Linked DNA regions of Oreochromis niloticus. The protein of the gene in region 2 interacts with the protein of the main gene of each other region in a pairwise test. Links are inferred from orthologs where the notes say so. Each region holds a gene or a part of one and is shown on either strand. Other genes may lie near its edges.

Region 1 (7,220 bases), on a different chromosome or scaffold from region 2:
GTCGTAAAAATCTAAACATTCACATTCTTTCTCTCACACGCCGCCTAAGTTATGACCTCGGCTCCTTGTTTTATCTCCTCCTGATGAGATGGGGCAGAAAACCTCTCTGGTATGTTCTGTTCTCTTCTAATCAGACAAATAAGGCCATGACTCTCTGAAAACGGTATTTCTTATAACTCAGCAGTATAATGCATCATAAAACAATATCATTCATTCACTATAAATCAGCAGTCTAATCTAATACAAATCAGTTTAATAAATCTAATAGTTATCACCTCTTCAGGAGAATAAAGCAAACTAAAACTACATAATAATTTCACAATCATTAATCAGGGGTATAACATGGCATAAGATAATATAATAATCTCACAGTGACCAGCAGGTAAGTGAGGTTCTTGCCAGGTTGGAGCAATGGAGATCTGTGAGAAACTAAAATACAAGGAGACACAAGGTAGGCAAAACAGGAACTTAAAATGTGTTGGCCAAAATCTCAACATGGGTTAGCAGACGAACTGGCAAAGACTAGTTGTAAGCACTGGTCTTAAATACTGCCAAATACTTCCATCTCTGGTCAAGACTACCAGCTCATATGACAGAACACTTCCCTCCTGCACCCGGCGATCATCATGGTCACAAGTGGCCTGTTCTCAATATTACATTTTGTGTATGATTCTGTTATTCTGAACATGCAGGGATCCACTCCTGAAAAAAAAGTTTATGATATTAATGTAAGGAACAAGGTTCTTATACTGAGCTACAAAAATGTGAACAACTAAAAATATAAAGTGTGAAACACTGGTGCATAAATTAAAAATTAGGATACATATCTACGTGACTCAGTCAGCTGCCTTCTCAATGTGTAATTTATGTAAATTATAAATTAATACCCATTCTGAACTTATAAAATCTTGCTTCTGACATATGTATACCAACATGCATTTCTTACATATGAAACCAAATTTTACAAATCAAACTAGAACATGCAATTAGAGAAATCGCATTGGGATTGTTGCTACTGGCAGATTCAGTCTGTAGCTTCACTAATGATGTGATGGCTCTGTGCCTCGTAAAGTGGCGGTGATTTTAAAATTGAGTTATGTTTGTGTTACCTAGCGATGAGAACTGTTAAGAATTTAGCGACTCTGTGTTGGAGGTATTTCCACTCTTTGTTGTGATCGATGTTGGGGTCATTACCCAAAAAAGTAACTATTGCACATATTACATTGAACACTTTTCTCAAAAATAATGCAGCACAATGCGTAATTACTCCCAGGATAAAGTAATTCCTTATATTACTCATTAAATTACTTTAATGTGATGCTGTAAAATTACCTAAAAGGCATTGTCTCATAATTTATCCCTGTACTCATGAGGACACACATATGAGCTTTCTCTTGGTATTACACAGGCCCACAGCACAAAGCAAAGATGAAAACTAGCATAAAGAGACTTAACAGTGATTGTTACAGTGATCACTACTTTAGAAACATGAACAGGAAGAAACAGAGGCTGCAGCCTGATTGATCATCTGTTTGTTTTATGTTGAAGTTCAGAGTGTGGCTGCTGGGCTGGGGTTGGCATTCACTCAGCTGTAATGCCACTCTTGATTATCTTAGTATACATGCTGTGTGTTGCAGGTGCTTTCCAAAGAGCTGAAGTTCAGCTACTCGGAGTGGTTGTAATAATTTCTGTCTTTCAAGGTTTGTATTCAAAATGCAGTCACCTCTTTGGTTTTGATTTTTAAATATCATCTGCTGGTCAACTTAATGACTACTGAACCAATGGGGTGTACCACAGTGAGAGGGAAATAGTTCAAGCAATAATAGCTTTAATTTCATAGTGAACTACAAATACATGATTTTTCAACTATAAATAAATGGCATTTTGATATATATGGAGCATATGCTCCATGCCAACTGTGCAGGAGTAAAAAAATATGTATATATAAAAAATAAATACAGGAATAAATAGCAAACAGAATAAATATATACACCATCAAGAGAAATATATCCAATCAAGAGTGATATACACACATTGGGTAGCAAAGTGCTTGGAAGCAGTGCAAAGGGAGTGATTGGGGCCACTTAGTGAGGAGCAGTCAGCACGGGGATCTGAAGGTGGTCCAGTTTGGTGGTGAGGATGTCTTCCTGTTCTTCGCTCAGTGCTTTGTGAAGAGCGGTGGTGATGGCATCCGCCATGGACCAATTTGCTCTGTAAGCAAACTGGTGGGGGGTCAAGGGAGGGGAGTGGCCAGTCTCAGATGTGCTGAGGCACTGCCGGCTCAAAACACTTCATGACTACAGACGTGAGGGCTATAGGTCTGTAGGCATTATGGCTGCCTATACCAGCCTTTTGGGGGATGGGAATGATAGTGGAGGCCTTCAGACAGGTGGGAATCGTTGCCTGAGTCAGGGAGAGGTTGAAAAGCCCGGTGAGGATCCCTGCCAGTTGGTCCGCGCAGGCTTTAGACACAGCCCCTGGGATGTTGTCGGGGACTGGCAGCTCTCCTGGGGTTTGCCACTCTCAGTTTCCCTCTGACCTCATGTTCTTGGAGGGAACATGTTGGAGGGAACAGACCATGTTTAATGACCCAGATGCTTGGAGGGGTTTGTTTCCTGAGGGGGATATATGCAGGCATAAAAAGCAGAATGAGGTGGTCAGATTGTCCCAGGTGGGGGAGGGGTGTCGCTTTGTAGACATGCTGGATGTTGCTGTATACGTGGTTCAGTGTCCTGCCCCCCCTGGTAGGATACATAACATGCTGGGGGAATTTGGGGAGTACAGATTTCAAAAATGCCTTATTAAAGTCTGCAGCAACAATTTGGACACCCTCTGTGTGCTGTCTCTGGTTTTTACTGATAAGAAGTTGAATGTGGTTGAGTGCTGAGCTAACATTAGCACTGGGGGGGATGTAAACAATGGCAACTATGGCTACCGTTAACTCCCGAGGTAGATAGAAGCTTCTGCACTGAATGGACCTGGTGTCTAAGTCCGGTGAGCAGTGACTTTCTATAATTTTGCTGTTATAGCACCAGTCCTGAACCACATAAGCACGCAGCCCAATTCAGACCTGATCCAGCTCTAACTATACGTTTTACCAAAAAGGAAAGTTTAAGCCTAATCTTAAAAGTAGAGGCAACAATACAAAGTGATCAGTGCATTGCAGGAGGACGCAGTGAAAAGGCATAAAAAACCCAAAGAGGTGCACAGTAGTTGGGTGCGCTGTGCTGCTGAATATGTCCGTACACGCTGCCATCTTGCTCATTTTTGCAACTTTTCAAGTGTAAGTCAATGGAATTTCAATACATTTTCCCAGTCAACTATAAATCCACCTAATTTCAATATAATTTCCCAGTCAGCCATAGACGAATGACTTTGAGAGGGGTCCCATGGAACAGTCCAGCTGATAATAGTTTTAATTTCCAGGTCAACTAGGAATCCATTACTTTTCAATGCCTTGGTTGTCGCCTGGTCAACTATAAACAGATCAATAATCATTCAGTTATAACATGAGAACTTTGAATCAATGTTATTCCAGTGTCATTACTGTTACACTGTCAGGTATCATCTGTATTTTAATATGGATTTTAGCATATTTTGGCCATAATGATGATTCAGATGAAAAATCAACATTAACTCAATCTCATCTTGCTATCTGGGAAAGATGAAAACCAGCCCAGAAAGACTTCAAACGATCACCACGGTGATTGTACTGTAGAAATGGAGGATGCAGTCTGTCTGTTCATTCATTTGTTACCTGTTGAAGTTCAGGGTCTGGCAGCTGGGCTTGGGTTGACAAACACTCAGCTTTTACATTACTCCCAGTTCTTGGCTAGCTTAGCGTTAGCATGCTGTCTGTGGAGACGCTTGCAAGTTCTTTTGCATAATGCAGATGCTTTTTGCACTACACTAACGCACTCTCCTCCTTTGGTGCAATAAAACTTCATGAATAAATGATAAATTAAATGTTAAATACAAATGTTCTTAAACTGAGCATTAGGTAGAAATATCCCTATAATACTGGCCTCCATCAAAAGTATTCAAACAATGAAAAAACGTTAAATCAAATGGCCCAGACATGTTGGAGCAACTTTTAAGTTTTGGGCGCTGTGACAACGAAAAGCGGACTTTTTACTGTGACTGAAAGCTGGATAACAGTACTTTATGACGTCACCATCATTCTTCATAATAGTGACGGTGAAGTCCGGTGACGCACAACAGGTTCTGATCACTGCGCTTAACAGGCTGCTTACCGAAACTTCACTCAAGTAATCATAGTACTGTTAAGGCGTTACTTAGCAACACTATTCACACCGGTATATAGGAGCGTACGGATCGGAGACCTTACGAAACAAACAGCTCTAGAAGCTGAGTGCGCAGACAGCGCTGGAGATAGTGCTGTGACACAGGCTACGCGCTATGGACTACTGTTGATTTGTGGAGGAAGAAACAGCGCACACTCCAGCTCCTTCTGGTGCTCACACACCTGTTTCATTCACCTCGCTTTATTTCTGCTGACTGATAACTGTTATCGTGATACATTGGGTATTAGAGTGCTTATTGTTGTAGAGTGAGAGAAAAGCTGCGAGATCATGAAGTCTCTGCTTGTAGCAGTTTTAATGGTTCTCATCGCCGCCGCCCAAGTTTCCGGCGAAGAAAATGACCCAAAAGAGGACACTGATTACTGGACGAGCACTAATCAAATCCAGGTATGTATTCAGAGTTATACTCTCTCCTTAATAATTCATAAATACTACTATTAAAGTAGCTCGTCTTTTAGTCTCCTTCAGTGGATGAAAGCAGAATAAATTTATATACCACCTAACAGGCATAAGGAAATTAGTTTGACTTAAGTTTTTTTTTTTCTTCCTTTTTGTGAGAACAAAGACATCCCCTTACAGACGTATGTTAAACCCCAGCGTCACACTTGTAGGGTTGCATATTTGTATTTTTAAAAAAATATTAAAATTATATGTATACACAAATTTACTGAAAAGGCGTATATAAAGGCTCATATATTAGCTTAATCACACTTTAGGAGCGACTGGATATATCGGCACTTTGTCACAACGGGCATCATCTCTCTGTGCGGGACATTAGTAGCGCAAAGATCCATATTGCCAGTCACACTAATGCATACTGCATGAATATAATCCTGAGATGGAAACAGAAAATCGCAAGAAAAGATCCAAATTCATTCTGCATTACTCGGTGTATTTTATGTGGGTGGACCGGTGGGTGGGACTGTCAGCTAATATTGATTAAGATAAGGTTCTGGCAGAATTCCGCTTTATTCTCTTGTTATAATGACGTGAGCAGGTAGATAAGGTATTAACACAGTTGAGGTATAGTTTGATGACACTAAATTTTTATAAAGATAAGATCCACTCTCACTCCACTCTGCTTCTCAGTGTAAGCATTCCTTCTCCCCCTCCACTCAGAATGGCTGGATTTCCGACGACCCGTTCAGAGAAGCCCTGCTGAGAATGACAAGAAAGCCAAAGCCACATCAGTTTATCGGTCTGATGGGGAGGCGCTCTATGGGTAAGAGCTAATTCTTAATAAAAGTACTTCTCCTATGCACCAGTTATTCTAACCTTTCATTTTTACTTTCATCCTCCCACAGCAAACACACAGATCACCCGCAAAAGTAAGTCCTGAAGTCATTATAGCTATAGCAATTTCCCTGCTCTTTAATTAAAACTCGGAACAAAAAGACCTAACCCCTTTGCCAATAGCTGGAGATGTGTGGCCAGTTACCTCGGACCTTTGACTGGCGCAAGCTGGTTTGTACACTGCTCATTTGTGCACAAATCAGCATGCACAAAGCAAAACTGAATTTTAACATAACAAAATAAAGCTCAGGTAAAAATAAAGCTAAATAAAAAAAATTTAAACGATTTTAAAACAAATCTAAATATCAGTATGTACAGTAGTGGAAATAGGCAAATATGAATATTATTCCCAAATAAAATTGATGAATAGCTACAACCATCTATTACAGTGATAAGTTAACAAGAATTAAATGATCACTTTCAGTTTACCACCATATCACTTATGTGAATTATAAGTAATTCTGTTACAGTATCACTTTTAATTTAATAGAGAATAAATTACTAGTGATAATGTAATAATGCTCCCATGTGGTAAAATGAGACTGCTCTGTGGTGACCAATCAGAGACGTATACATCAGGTGGGATGTATTAGTCATAATGATGAGGGATTTCTTCAGCATTCTCCTCTTAGACACCTCTACCCGAGTCTTCGAGTTTTACTCCCAGAATCAGTCTTCAAGATGAATTTATTCAGTCTGTTGACATTAGCAGCTTTCATCCTGCCGAACACTCCTGCATAGAACACCACACTTGCCACCACAGAGTGATGGCAAGTGATATAAACAGCAAGGCCTTACAAATGTTGAACGACCTGAGCCTTTTAGTTGATACAGGTCGCACAGATTCTGCTCTATATCTCATCCATGAAATAAACCCTTTTAAATGGATGGAAGGGCATTAAAAAAGCATTCAGGACATTAACCCATAAGAGCCCAGATACATTTTTACTGCCGGGAAAACTATGGGAGAGTCAGTGTTTAAACTTTAAAAGGAAAACTTTCCTCAGTGTGTGAAGGGACGAGGTTCTTTAGAATCAGACACACAAGCAAAGGCAAGTGTGCAAGGGTCAGATGGACTTGTGTGCTTTTCTCTAATAATGTGCATTTTGACTGAGATTAAAGGCAAAAAAAAAATACATTGAGTCAATAAATGTACTGAGACAGTGGGTGGAGAGGTGTACACAGCTGTGACAGCTCTACAGATATCAGCTCACTCCACAAAAGTGGAAGGTCTTTGTTCCACAAACAGAGCATGGAGCAGAAAAAGCGTAAATTCAACTTGCCCACAGTGTTTGTGTCTGTGGGCAAGAAATGCAGTATACAAAGATTTTTTTTCCCTAATGTTCTTTGAACTAATTAATTAGTGAGTAAAGAAGGTGGTCCAGGGGAGACGCCTGTGTGAGACAAAGAGGGAAAAGATAAAGAGCAATGAGGAGGAGGGGATTTTCTCTTTCCTCTGTCATGGTTTGCGTTTCATCTGAATTAGTCACCCACTCAGTGATGCACTCAGTGCAGCGCAAGTAAGCAAACAGCTAATTTATTCCTGTAATGCAGGACCCGCTGTAAAACAATCATAAGATAGGGAGCTGAGATACGTGCCCTCAG
Region 2 (7,529 bases):
TCGGTAAATCTCTCTGCAGTTGTAGTAAGTGTGAAATATCAATCCTTTACAGACAAGATGCTCTTAACCAGAACATTACGCAATAAGATCAACAGTAAATCCCGTCGTACTGAGGTTATCATAAAAAAGACCTCAGACCAGTGGGGAAGTGCCTTTGGTATTTTCATAAATCTAAACATGTATCTTTCATTTTTACTCTCACCTTCTGCCGATCGATCGTGTTCACAGACAGCATCTCAGGCTCCAAGCAGGGAACAATGGTCTGATACAACAAAGTGTACAAAGACAGAACAAGAGAGAAGACTTCTTTTAACATAGCTGCAGTCTAAGTCAACACTTTGTAGTAATCCTGATCAAAATGCCTGGAAACTCCCAGGACTGTCTCTGAATGTGTGCAATACTCCAACAGACCACTTTATCAGTGTGGGTTGAGGTAAATTATTAATCTGTACAGCAGCATTACCCCTGAACTTGAAAGGTAAATAATAGGTTGGAAATGCGATGTTTGCATCCATGAATGTAAAACTTCAGCATCAGGATAAAATACATTTATAGGAAACTGAAACATGCTTTCTCACAAGTAGCTTTACTCATCCAACATTTTGTGAAAGGAATAAACTCGCTAAAGACTCACCGTCACTGACTCATCATCATATGTAGGAGGTGTTTGTGGCTATTTCTAAACTGGAACCAACCAAATTTTCTCACGAACTTAACAAACAGCAACCCGAAGTTTTAACTTTATTTGTTTCTGTTCATCCTGCCCCGCGTCCCACACCTTCTGTCAACACACACACACTAGGAATCATTAACTTCCCGTTTTGTCTTCCCATACTAGGTTTGGGAGAATGAAATTACTGGACTATTAAGAATCACACATGGCTTTATCAATTAATCAGGTGTGCTTCTGATTTTAAAAAAATGTCAAGAAAACAATTTTATCAAAAAACAAAGAATATTTAGTTTAAGGCTATTAACAAAACAATAATCAATAAATAATAAAACTAAGCAAACATTCCCTGTAGATGACCAGTTTTACAGACTATGAATAATTGCCAAAATATTTTGAATAGCTAATTGAATAACTGACCTTTTCATGTCTCATGTATGAAAAAGCCTCTACTGTGAATTCTGCTTAGAGCCGTGTTCCACATCTGCTTCCACACGGTGGAGTTGTTACACCTGAATAACTTTCTCCACATGATTCACACTTCAAAGTAAATAAGGATACAGCTTTTTTTTCTACATCCTAAGTCACATCACATTAGTTCAATTCCAATCTGTTTTTTGCGTACAGTTACTCAATTACGCTCAAATTATGTTATTTCCTACAATAAAATGATGATAAACTATTTTGAATAGAGTATAAAATCAAGTCAGTTAAACTTCTGGGACATTTATCTGGTCAGTTTGGTGAATTTTTAATCAGGTTCAGCCGCTTTGGTGTTAATGAAATTAACAGCAGGTGCACTAGAGGGGCAACAATGAGACAGCCCCAAAACAGGAATGGTTTTACAGGTGGAGGACATTTCTCCCTCTGCATCTTTTCTGACTGTTTTTACACTAGTTTTGCTTTTGGCTAGGGTCACTATCACTACCAGTCGCACAAGGCAATGCGAGGATCCTACAGAGTTGTAAGTTAATAAGTACACTAATGCAGTGGGCTCTGGGTTCTTCCTGGAGCACAACAGTGCCCAGCCACTTGTTGCAAGAGTGTGTAGGCGGTTCCTGACTGATGAAGGAATTGATACCACTGACTGGGCCCCCACACTCATCTGACCTAAGTCAATAGAACACCTCTGGGACATTATTTGGTTCTATCTGACGCTGCCAGGTAAAGCTAATATTATGTGATTTACGATGTAGAAAAACAGATTTTTATTTATTTGTTTTCAAGTGTGCATCATCTGGAGAACGTTATTCAGGTGTAACAACTCCACCTTGTGGAAGTAGGTGTGGAACACAGCTCTAACTAAATTTCAAAATAACACACATGAACCTCCAACTGTCCAGGAGCTCAGTGATAACCTGTCGTTCCTAACACAGAATGTATGGATAACCGACCTGATTTCTTTCTAAATTGAGATTTGATGCAAGTTTAATTTTATAAGCAGTATATTTAGACATGCTTCAAAAAAGTTTTGACATCAAAATAAAAGAGTAAAAATATGGTGCAATGGTGAAAAAATAAACTGGGAAAAGGAGGGACGTTCACTGAAGCTGAGCGGTAAAAATAGGGAAGGCTTCCCCACATTGCCAATAGGTTAAAGTTCATGTACTTATAAAATGCCCCACATACTGAGTCATGTTTTTCTTGGGGATTAAATACATATTTCACTCAAAACTATTATGTAATGTGTTTTTTCTGGATTTTTGACTGATTATTCGGCCTCTTTCTATTAAAATGAAACTCTGAATTTTGGTCTCTAAGCTTTTGCATCTGAGGCTTATACTAGAAATGTTGCACAGTTAAGCTGTACTAAGAAGTGGAAAAATGTCCTTGAACCAATCAAAATCCTCCTGGATAAAAAGAAGGGCCATAAGGGATTAGTGTCAGAGGACAGTTTAAAGCCAGCACGCATGATGGTGTTGTTTCGCATCAGTGAAAAACCATACCATGTAGAAACCTATATCCATCCCTGAAACTGTGTTGTAAACAAAGGATTTCTGCAACAGTGGTAATTTTCTTCTACCACTCAGTAGAATCACACATATTTGGCCAGACTTTATTAGTTCTATTACCTCGCTGTTAAATCTTACGCTTCAACGTAGCTGCTTCATTGTTACAGGGTGGCTCGTCTCTTATTGTATTGTCTCCTCAACTGAATAAATAAAAAATCTACAACAGTTGTCTCCTCAGGTTCCTAATGCTTACAGGGTGAATAGAGTAAATGCTTACAGATTAAACAATAAAGGGAAAAAACACTTTAAGTTGTTTTAATTTTTAATTGTAATCTTACCGACAAACACACATAGCTTGTTACCAGAGTGATCCTTGCACAGAGCTAAAAACAGCTTTTCGGACTTTAAAGGTGGAGAATGTGCAGACAGGACGGTGTGAACAGTGAGCAGCTGGCCTGGGTAGGAAAATAAAAGTCTACATAACATACTGAAGTGTGAGGCTGTCAACACTGGAAGGAAAGCTATAATCCCAAGAAATGCAGATATTGTGAACTAACGTCATCATTTTTCCAAGAATCAGACAGCAAGAAGTATTTACTTAAATGTCATGTTAAACAAATCTTCAGATGTATTTTCAAGAATTTCTAGAAGCCCAGCTTTCCAGTAACAATCATTACCAGAAAGAAAAACAGATGTAAATTCTTACTGTTGACAGCAGTTTCATTTCTGACTGTAATTAGAGTGAATCTATCCCCCTGCTACAATACAATTAGTTACTAGAGAATATTTTGACCCTTCTGCAGGGTTACTGGAGCTAATCTGGGTATGTGCAGCAGCTTCTTGTTCCCTCCCTCAGATAGCCAATGCAGATCCATCTACGACTCCCCTTTCAGGACTGATACCAGCTCTCCACTCTCCTTCAACTCCTTGACAATGTCCAAACCACCGATAAGCTCTCCTTTCACATAGAGCTGAGGGTAGGTTGGCCAGTTAGAGTAAGTCTTGAGCCCCTGCCGCACTTCTTCATCCTGCAGGATATCAAAGGTGTCATAATCCACCCCGGTACCGTTCAAGAGCTCCAGTATCTGCCTGCTGAAGCCACATCTGGCAGCCTCTTTGTTGCCCTTCATGAACAGCATGACTGGACTCTGATTGATGATGGTCTTCAGTCGGTGCTCTAAGGTGACAGCCTTCGGGCAGGTGTTCTCCAGCTCTCCGGACTCAGCCAGTTCCTTCACTATGTCCAGTCCTCCCACCAGCTCCCCGTTCACATACAGCTGGGGGTAGGTGGGCCAGTTGGAGTACGTCTTCAGCCCCTGTCGGACCTCCTCATCGGACAGGATATCGAAGCTGCTGAACTGGATGTTGTGCTCTTTCAGCAGCGCAACTATCTGTCGGCTGAATCCGCAGCGGGGCTCCTGGGGTGACCCCTTCATGAAGAGCATGCAGGGGGCGGCGTTGATTAGCTTCTTCAGCCGCTGGTTCAGATCTGCGCCGCTGCCCTCAGCGGCTCCACCGGGTCCCTCGCTCACCGCGAGGCGCTGCACCTTCTTAGTCAGTTCCGGAGCGTGAGCCCCGTCCAGGCGGTCCACTTTCTCTCCGCTCTTGAAGAAAAGGAAAGTGGGGACGGAGGAAATTTCATACTTCTCCGACACCTCCGGGACCGCTTCCGCCTCTAGCTTCACGAACGTAGTGTGCGCATGTTCTTTGGCCAGTTCGGCCATCACCTCGTTCATTTGGCCACACTGAGGAGCCCACGCCGCTTGGAAATGCACCACGGTAAGGCATTTTCCAGCTTTGGCTAAGAAATCTTCAAACTGCTGTTGAGTAGTCGCCTCCACGAGATTCGCCATTTTTCTTTCCTTTCACCCTCTGCACGCGCAGTGGTTCCGGTGCCGCCTAGACGTCATATCCGCGTAGCCTGGCAGTTTCTGGCAAGTACCAGAGCAGCTACAGGGAAGTCGTTTGCATGCTAGCTGATGATAAGAAAACAGCTGCATACACTGGATAAGTCGAGAGGATAGTAACTTCTAAGGTAACTGTTTAACGACACAGACTTAATTAAAACGAATTTCACTCTGTTTCGGATTGCTAAGCTAATTTTAACGTTCCGTTTTAGTAGCTTTAGCATTAGCTAGTTAGCTCAAAGTTAGCTTCGTTCGTGACGTCTGCCAGGTTTCCAAGTTAAGCAAAGCTAATTCATGCTAGCAAGCCTTTGGTGGTTAAGTAAGCTACTGTTACACGTAAATTCTGCTAAATAGAAATAGAGTCAAATACCACTGTTCTAAGAGTTAAATTAATAAAAAGAGTTTAAATAAAGATAGTGCACGTCGGTGTCTGGCCCAGCATGAAGCAGCCTCGGTTCCTCGGCTAACTACTCAACATTACGCTGTTACCGAGCACGCAAACTCCAAAACAACACGAGCAAGTGTTTCGCTGATCAGACTCAGCTGTGTCCTTCGGTTTTACATCGGTGGTTTGCACGAAAAAAACTGCTGCGTGTTTTTGTTGCTGGTTTTGAGGAACATTCAACTCTGTGAAGTTTTCTGCACCTGCGGACGGCACTATTTTCTTTATAAATCCATATGCTGCGTAGCTGTCAAGACAAGTAAGATGGTGGCGAAAAAATATTCTTTAGATAAACATTTCAAATGAAATGAAAGGGAAAACAATACACACCTTATCCTTGCCATGGTATAAGCATAATGCATCTTCTATTTATTTTTAAGGCTTTTCAAATCCGGTGATAATAACTAGTTTGTTACTACGCCTGAAAATTATAACATACTTATATGACATATGACACTGTGTTAAAGTTTAACAACAATTAACTCAAAATGCAGAAGTAGTGTCTAAAAAAACAAAACAAAAACAAAACTATGGGCTCCCAATAATTCAGTAGCCTGTAGAATCACCCTTAGCATCATTAAATTGAAGTAATGGTTTTCTGTAAGACATTATCAGTCTCTCACATCATCTTCTCCCACGTGTTACATTGTCTACTATTAGCATGATCTTGATCACAAAGCATGTGTGTTCTGTGTAAATGTGTCCTTTGAAAAACTAAGTACACACATGATTCAGTAGCTTATTGAAACACCTTAACCAGCATCAGCTTGAAGTAATCTTTATCTGTATGATATTATCAGTCTCACTCTTCTTTATACATGGTTTATGCTTCAGTTCATTGAGGTTGGCGGGCATTCATTTATACAAAGCTCTCCTGTCACAGCATTACATCAGATTGCAGTATGAACTTTAGATTTTGTTTTGATTTGCTCATTACAACACCTTGACTCTTTCGGGGGTTTTTTTAGCTGTTCTGTTGTACACAAGGGTTAGTTATTGAAAAGATGCCCTCATATTTCAATTCAATTTTATTTATATAGCGCCAAATCACAACAACAGTCGCCTCAAGGCGCTTTATATTTGTCTTTAGAATACTTTAACATACAGAGAAATTTATGATCCACTCACTGACTGCAGGTGCCCACATCCTAGACTCCAAAACAAGCCCAAAACATCACCCCTCCACCACTTGCTTGACAGTTGGTATGAGACGTTTATGCTGATATGCTGTGTTTGGTTTAAACCACTGGCACTTTGTATTATGGCCAATTATCTCCACAATTGTCTTGTCCGTCCAAAAAACACTGTTCCAAAAGTTTTGTAGTTTGTTTAGATGCAAGTTTGCAAATCTAATTGTGTTCATTTTAAAGAGAAAGATGGCTGTGGCAGCCCTTTTGTCAACTTGTTCAGTCTTTTAATAAATGTACTATCATGAACTTTAACATTTAAAATGATAAGTGAGGAAATAGTATTTTGCCACATTAGTGCCACAACATCATGAGTGGTCCACCAATAAAGAGGAAGATAACTGAGAAAACATTAGTAGAGAAAAATTGCTGTAAATAAATAATAGTTAAATATTGTTAATTATTATTACAAGAGTATGCACATATTTTTGAAAATAAAAGTATTGTAGTTAACATTTTATGGTGGTTTTGTTGTTTTTTTTAATTTTGCTGTAGGTCCACACAGTGTTTTGTTTCCTATATGTTCTACATTTCTGAATATTTTTTTTTTAACCTATGAGTTACAACAACCACAATATTTTGAAGCTATTTTCATATATTCTTTTTACATTTTATAGACCGTGTGAGTAATTATTAACACATTAATTGAGAATAAACATTATCATTGGCCATAGCTGTAGGAGCAGTATCAGTTGGTAATTACTGGCCGGCACATCAGGTTTTTACGGACCCTTTGAGTCAGCAAGTATCAAATGACAAAAGATATGTTTGTGATAATTTAAGTGAGAGTCTTTGTTTTATACTGTAAATTGTCCTAATTAGTCCCAAATGTTCCATTTCACATCTCACAGAGATGTTTAAAATAGATGTTTATGTTAAGAAAGAAATATGAGAGGATTTCAAATTAGCAAAGTGTTTAAACTCTCACATAACAGTCATCATATTTACCCTAAGAATCCAGTTTCAGCTGAGCTATAAATGGAAAATACATCTTTCTGTTACAGGAACACAATGGAAGAACAAACTGCTGACATAGAGGTGACGGTGAAAACATTAGACTCCCAGAGCAGAACCTACACTGTTGGCGCTCAGGTAAGTACATGCATGGTGCAAACTCAGGAGGAAATTCTTATTCTTAGTTCATCTTTCCTGTGGTGTTACTCATGTCTGTTCAATCTTTGTTGTAGCTGACGGTGAAAGAGTTCAAGGAGCACATTGCCCCATCAGTGGGTATACCGGTGGATAAACAGAGGCTGATCTACCAGGGCAGAGTGCTGCAGGACGAAAGGACTCTGGCAGACTACAGTAAGTAAATAAAGAATGAAATGCAGAACTAGATTGTTACTTGTTGGTCTTTGTACTTCCTCCTGG

The links. The genes of interacting proteins can lie anywhere in the genome.
Region 1: the proteins of bag6 (region 2) and tac1 interact in a two-hybrid assay, tested with the Homo sapiens proteins (2 studies listed by BioGRID and IntAct). The link is inferred for Oreochromis niloticus from reciprocal best matches to the Homo sapiens genes BAG6 and TAC1.

What each region holds. Positions count from the first base shown.
Region 1 is NC_031985.2:36,816,476-36,823,695, reverse strand, and holds the start of tac1 (protachykinin-1), read left to right. Parts: upstream 1-4,208; 5' UTR 4,209-4,592; coding exon 4,593-4,709; intron 4,710-5,441; coding exon 5,442-5,544; intron 5,545-5,626; coding exon 5,627-5,650; intron 5,651-7,220. UniProt on the Homo sapiens protein: Tachykinins are active peptides which excite neurons, evoke behavioral responses, are potent vasodilators and secretagogues, and contract (directly or indirectly) many smooth muscles.
Region 2 is NC_031976.2:36,171,968-36,179,496, reverse strand, and holds the start of bag6 (large proline-rich protein BAG6), read left to right. Parts: upstream 1-4,524; 5' UTR 4,525-4,657; intron 4,658-7,162; 5' UTR 7,163-7,169; coding exon 7,170-7,250; intron 7,251-7,345; coding exon 7,346-7,463; intron 7,464-7,529. Other genes in the region: apom (apolipoprotein M), read right to left, coding at 203-316; glrx3 (glutaredoxin 3), read right to left, coding at 3,498-4,475. UniProt on the Homo sapiens protein: ATP-independent molecular chaperone preventing the aggregation of misfolded and hydrophobic patches-containing proteins.